Oryzias latipes: one gene and its partner. The protein of the gene in region 2 interacts with the protein of the main gene of each other region in a biochemical or structural test. Links are inferred from orthologs where the notes say so. Each region holds a gene or a part of one and is shown on either strand. Other genes may lie near its edges.

What was found. The genes of interacting proteins can lie anywhere in the genome.
Region 1: the proteins of grb2 (region 2) and axl form a complex in vitro, tested with the Homo sapiens proteins (2 studies listed by BioGRID, with this or other methods). The link is inferred for Oryzias latipes from reciprocal best matches to the Homo sapiens genes GRB2 and AXL.

What each region holds. Positions count from the first base shown.
Region 1 is NC_019871.2:3,220,757-3,224,507, forward strand, and holds the start of axl (tyrosine-protein kinase receptor UFO), read right to left. Parts: upstream 2,606-3,751; 5' UTR 2,308-2,605; coding exon 2,166-2,307; intron 1-2,165. UniProt on the Homo sapiens protein: Receptor tyrosine kinase that transduces signals from the extracellular matrix into the cytoplasm by binding growth factor GAS6 and which is thus regulating many physiological processes including cell survival, cell proliferation, migration and differentiation.
Region 2 is NC_019866.2:20,732,414-20,735,506, reverse strand, and holds the end of grb2 (growth factor receptor-bound protein 2), read left to right. Parts: intron 1-609; coding exon 610-798; 3' UTR 799-2,583; downstream 2,584-3,093. UniProt on the Homo sapiens protein: Non-enzymatic adapter protein that plays a pivotal role in precisely regulated signaling cascades from cell surface receptors to cellular responses, including signaling transduction and gene expression.

The DNA.
Region 1 (3,751 bases), on a different chromosome or scaffold from region 2:
GGAGTGGGTCTTTAAGGTTTGATTGAGCAAAGAGCTTTAGGTGCAAACTTAAGACATCATGGGAAAAATACATTTGTGGTTCAGACTCAGTCAAAAACAAGCCTGGATTTGCCATAAATCATGCCAACGTAACGGTTGGTCATCATTCCTTAACCGAGCTGAATGTTGGTACCCACAATTCTTTTGGATTTCAGATTCAAACAAGTCGACCTGCATGTTTGTGGAGGATCTCAGTCGTCCAACCGAGGCGTGTTTTCCGCTCTAAGGGAACCGGACTTCTGTCTTTTCTGGGAGACGTTTCACTTCTCAAATATAAACACCTTCAAGAATGCCTTTAAGATGATAACCTACGGGTTCAACTTTCATTGAAAAGCAACTTTCTTTGAATATAAAATAACTGTTGTTGTGTTTTTAAACTGAAGTGGAATTTTTCTTCATCAATCCATCACTTTATTTGAGGAGCAACCTTCATCAACCTGCATGGCCCACAAGGTCCTCTACATGATAAAAGTCATAAAACACAACAGATTCAAAAGCTGATAGAAAATGATGATTTGAAAAGGCCCAGTACAGATAATTAAGTCATAAAATAAATGAATAAGTAAATTTCTTTACTGAAATTAGAAACTATTTTAATAAAAACTAACAGAAAAGCAGTTTTTTGGCTAAAGAATGTAAAAAAATTTACTTAAAAAGAAAAGGAAAGTCTGATTGATTGATTCAGCTATTTCAATGTGAATATGGATCCAAGGAATGAATGGGATTTTTAAAGTCTGATGTAAATAAAGTGTCAGGATCTTTATGTTGTCAGTGAAACATGCAGAATGCTGAGTTATGGGACAGCTCTGCCTGCTTCGTTTGTGCGTCTGCTTCATGTTTGTTGGCACTGAGCAGCCCTGCGGCGATAAGAGCAGGTGAAACACAGTTTATCTCCCCCCTGGATGACTTTGAAACGAGTCGGCCTATCTTGTTCCTCTCGCTGATAGCGAGGCTGAGCAGGAAGGTCGGCGCTGCTCCGCCACAAAGGCCTCTTGTTAGGGAGCTGGGGGGCACAAACTGATGATGAACATCCAATCCTGCAGAATCCTCCTGCTAGATCCTCCTGCTGGATCCTCTTGCTGGATCCTTCTGCAGAATCATTCTGCTAGATCCTCCTGCTGGATCCTCCTGCTGGATCCTCCTACTGGATCCTTCTGCAGAATCAATCTGCTGGATCCTTCTGCTGGATCCCAGAGACTCCAGGAGGAGTAAACTGTTTTCTCTGACTGCAGGCCAAAAATAGCTTCAAGCTTTCTTGGCTTCGGATGCAACTCGGGAAGATTTTCTCAAGCTTGTCAGGCGGGGCGTTGAGTCTGTTCGAGCCGACCTTTGACCTCCACCCAGTCGCTGTGGAAACAGCCATGAGTCCCCTGAGTTTCCCTCCCGATCCTCAGATCACATTGATGCAGCTCATAAACAAACGTGGGAGCGAGCAGCGGCTGAAAGGCCCGGCCGCCTCTTTGTCTTCCACGTCTTTGTGAGGCTGGCTGAGCCCTTTCAGACCGGACCCCTGACTCGGTTTGTTTCTCCGCCGCGCTTGACAAAAGCAGCTCCGCTTCCCTCCTTCCTGTCCCACATGGAACCATGACAGCCTTCGGGAGAGATGGATCCGCCTGGCATGGAAACAGCCGAACCTCCTCTCAGGGTCTGAGCAACAAATCCTCCTGCCTCTCTGCAGGATTCCTCCCCTCCGCTCACGCCTGCACCTTTGCCCCTCTTCATTCCATTCTGCAGATTCATCTCTGCAGACTTTCCAGCCTCCTCCACCCGTCAGGTCATCCATCACTGCCCTGCTCGACTGCTAGTCCCCCCGTCCTGACAGGTGAGGAACCTTTCTGAACACATCCTGGATTGGATTTTTTTCAAACTCATCACATGAAGAAGTTTCTAAATCACCAGGAATCTGAATTAGGATGGATTTAATGTAGTGTGAACTGGAAACATGGGTGGGGAGGGAGGGGTCGTTTTTCCAGAAAAACTTTTTCCAGGAACATATTAACATGACAGAGTGTGCTGACAGTCACAGAAACATCTGCATGAAAGAGGAGACGAGCTGAGGTGGAAACCTGCGCATGGAAACCCAATCACCTCCCTCTGGGCCGGATGTCCGCTGAGGAGCGGCTTACCTGACAGCTGCGCCGCGGCCGCCGGCGCCCAGGACGCCAGGAGAAGGCTGAGGAGAGCCAGGCTGCGCGCCATGGCTCCTGGGAGCGGATCACCTGAGAGGAGGCGCGCGGGGACAGCGGTTGTGGCGCAAAAACACCCCATCACCGCATCTCAGCAGCGCCAAGAACCGAACCTGCGTGGAACCGACACGGTCCGAGAAAACCTTGAAACCTAAAAAAAAAATTAAAAGCCCGCAAATCCTGTTGGATGATCCTGAGAAAAAGCGCAGCAAACATCCACGAAGTTGTTGTTCAAAGTTCCTCTCCACTCCCCTGACTTCTTCCCCCTCTCCCCCTTCTAACAGGATTGAAATTCCTCAACTCAGTCTTTCCCTCCTCCCCTCTCACTTCTCCTCCTCCTCCTCTTCAGTCTCCCTCCTTCTCTCTGAGAGCTTGTGAACCCCCGGCTGTCTGTGCGCGGCCCCTCGTTCGCGCATTCATGACGCGCAAAGACGCGTTTCTTTCAGGACTCTGGTGATTTCATCAACAACCAAAAAACTGTCAGATCAGCTGCTGAACTGAAGTTCTGCTGCTTCCTCAAACTTTTCCCTTCAGACTCTCATTTATGACATTTACGCGCCGCTGGCGCTGTGGGTTTTCAGCCAAAACAATCTGGACTTTTATCAGCTGCAGTCTAAATAAAAGCGTCTGCAGATGCGCATCTGCGCCGCGCTGCTGCGCGCTTTGATGTCTGCGTGGAGGTGACTGATCTGCGTGTCTGTCTGCTGAGGCTGCGGCTCTTCTGGCCCTTTAAGAGCCGCGCTCCCAGCGGGGCTGAGAAAGGGCCCTTTGTGTCAGCTCCGCTTTCAGACTGCAGTGGGGAGACACGGGCAGGGAGGGGCACCCGAAACGCGCAGTTTTCGGGTCTGGACAGGGGGGAGAATTCAAATGCAGGACCTTGGGATTAAATCTAAAAGAGCGTCTGAGAAAAAGAAGTCTGTGCCAAACTTTACGCGTGGCTTTACAACGCAACAGGGCTGTGAGTGGAGATGAAATCCAGGTGCGCTGAGAGTCCCGCCCACATAGCTGCACACACCTGTGTGAGAGATGGCTGTGGCAGCAGAGGACCCTCGCGACACCCACAGCTGTAAGTGGGAGCTTCTGTGAAGCAGGTCATCCTCAGAACATCCTCCTGAAGGAAGACTAGAGAGGCAAACGGCTGCAGGATCCGGAGCTGCAGACACCTGTGCAGATCCTACTCGGGTCACAGCGGCGCTCTTCTGCCCTCTGCTGGTCAGTCTTCGCACTGCACGCATGTCAGAAACATCAGTCAACTGCTGGACTCCTCACTTCTCCCCACTCCATTCCGGACTTTTTTTCCATTCTCTATGAATTTGTCCCATCTTGCAGTCATCCCAGGACCACATCACCTGAACAGGAAGGTCTTCTCCATTCCTGCTCCTTTGACCTCAGTGGTTTACAGTTCACTGTTTGGTTATAATGCTGCTCTAATGAACTTACATTAGAGGTAAACTCAAATATACAGTATGTGTGAACATAAATGTCCACAAATATGCTTTCTCTGGATGATCAAACCGGGATTTTCG
Region 2 (3,093 bases):
AGATGCAGACACGGTGGATTCACGTTTATTACGTTTAGAAAATACTTATTTTTACGTTAAAGGACATTTACGAATTTTCCTACAGCATGGATGAATTACGCTGGCATGTGTTAAGAAACTCGGCACAGAAAATGTTCCTCTGTGTTACAAAAAAAACACGATCAATCAGGATTTATGTAGAAATGAAATATGAAAAATCTTTTGGTCCTGAAAGATGATCAGAGCCTGGGTTGAATTCTCTGTGTTAATGACGTTTTTATTCAATCATTCTACAAATCAGCAACTTGGTTTCATTGAACCGTCATCACCTGTAAAAGTAAAAACACAAATATTTTAGATTTAGATTCAGAAACCGGAAGCTTAAACATATGAAATGCAAACTTTGGCCCCCTTTGGACCGGTCCTTGAAAACATTGTTTGACATTGAACCGGTCCGCTACCTGAAAAAGGTTGGAGCCCCCTGATCTAGAGAACAGCAGCAGAGAGGAAGACGGAGGAGGGAGGGGCTTAGTGAGATGAAGATGGACGTTCTGTTTGACTTTGCTTTAATGGGAACATTGAATATGAACATTTCTAAAATGGAGATCTTTCTTCCTCCTCTGGTCTCAGCAGCATCCCACGTACGTACAAGCGCTCTTCGACTTCGACCCGCAGGAGGAAGGCGAGCTGGGCTTCAGGCGCGGCGACTTCATTCAAGTCCTGGACAACTCGGACCCCAACTGGTGGAAAGGAGGCTGCCACGGCCAGACGGGCATGTTCCCGCGCAACTACGTCACGCCTGTCAGCCGGAACATGTGAAGCAGCCAGCCGCGTTCAGCCGCAACCATTTCCGTCATCATTGTTTTTTGATCTCATCACCCCCGCCTCCAGCCCCGGTCCGGCCCCCACCCACCACCCACCCCCCGTCCCCACAGAAACAGCAAACAACTGAAAGAGAACACGAGCACTGCTGTAGTAGGCGTCACTTTGCGGGTGACAGCTGAGCAAAGTCGACTCTCATTGGTGCCGAGAATGTCCCCGCCCCCCGTGGAACGCCTGGGGGGGGCTGTGTTTGAGGGCAGTCTTAACGCAGAGAAGCCTAAAGCAGCGAGGAGAACGGAACATGTCTCCGCCTCCTAACATTCTGCCTTTCACTCCTTCTTCTTCCTTTGCAGCATGTTTTAATCACTTTAATGAATTCCCTTCAATAAATCCTCTCTTGTTTTAAAGGAGAAAAATATTGAAAAAAACGGAAAAAAAAGAAATTGTTTTAAAAATGTACAAAAAGAAAACTGATGTCAACAAAACAGTAGGTTTCCATGTTAAAGACCATTGGTATGTGAGCATTGTACTTCAGCCGTTGGCTGCATAAATGAATCAAGTATAGAGAGAATCCATTTTTTAAGAAAATATATTATATATTTGTATGTTTGTTTGTTTTACCTCTCATCACAAATTATTTTCCATTTGTAAATTATGTTCAATCTTCTGTTAGTCAGGGTTAAGACCTTGTAGCTCTAGAATGTGATGAGTTGTCTTTTTTTTTTTTTTGTCTGAATCTATCGGAGGTTTTTCCAGATCAAACCGCACGACATCCGAGGCGCCAAAAAGTTCCATTCGGACGAGGTTTCTCTGGTCTGTAACGCAACTACAGTCAGTTCTTTCAAGAATCTAATGTCGACCAGCAAGAGGACCGCTGCAGAATCAAACGGACCCTCTGAGGACCGCTTAGGTTTTGAAAGCCGATTTATTTATTGCAGCCGATCGACTCGGGCCGTGAATGTAGCTGACTGAATCTGTAGACGAACATGAGGGAAACGCAGTCAGAACCACACAACCACGCAAGGGATTTGAAGTCATGCTGAAATGTGGTCATTTGTAGTGAGCGCTGACAGAGGACTTGTACAGGTAGACTCCTTTTCAAACACATTCATTACTTGCATGCATCAGCAGACGCTCTCCACCTTGTACGCGCACCAAGCAAAGGGGTGGAGTTCGGCTAACCACGCTGACTAATCACCAGTGAAAACCTGCAGCTGGCACAGATTCAGAGTTTGGAGAACTGTGAGATTGTCTGTTTTCCTATTTTTTTTTGCTAACATTTGAAAGACGAGCTGAGATGATGTAAAGATGTTTTTTTGTTCCTAGTCTTTTTTTCTGTTTTTTTTTTCCATCGTGGTGTGTGGTCAAGCACTTTTTATTTTATTTTTTTGTTTTGTTTTTTTGTCAAGCCTAAGTTTTGTTCTGGTCCAAATGTGTGTTTGTTTACTGTGTTTGTGTTTCTTTTTCTCTCTGGATAGTGCCTTTCTCTCTGGTGTTTTAGTGTCTCTGACCTGCTACTTTGAGCCCCCCCTCCCAGCCCCCTGAAGCCCCTTTTTGGGGCCTGCCAGTCCTGCAGCCAGAAATGATGTAAATAATATAAAATAGAGAAAAGCGCCCCTCGGTGCCCCCCCTGCCCTGTTTTACTCCTCCTACATGGACCCGCTTCACCTTAGGTCTCACCAACATGGAACTCGCCTTGTCTTATCTAATGATAATGTTTTGTTTTTTATTTGCATTCTTGTTTTTTTTTTTCAATGAATTAAAAGCAATTATTAAACTTGTGCTGAGGTCTCCTGATTTTTTTTCTCCCACAGTCCAAAAACGGGCTTCACAGGTTCATTGATGACTGAATAGGTGTGCATGTGTGAGGGCGAAGGGGTGGGGGGCCAGCTGCCCTCCCAGCAAAAAGCCTTGCCCCCCAGGAGCAAAGACCTGTTTCCTTTCACTATGACATTTCCCTCTGCACAGGTAGCCAGTTTGCATGGGTTTTCTTAACCCGCGGGGTTGCCTCAGACCGTCCCGGCTCCTGTTGAGCGAAGGAGGGAAACACCTGGGACAGGTCGCCAGCCTGTCGCAGGGCAGGGCCCATGGGGCTCTAGACGAAATCTTGAGGCCCTCAAATGCTGTTTCCATGCTATGGCGAGAGGAAATTTAGATTTTAGGAACATTCAATGATAAAGCTAACTTTAAAATAGCTTAATAAAATCTGGGAGCTCCACCACTGCCCCATTGGGAGAATGTTTCTTTTCATTTAAAGAACTTTTATTTTGAGTATTTTTGACTTATTTGGGG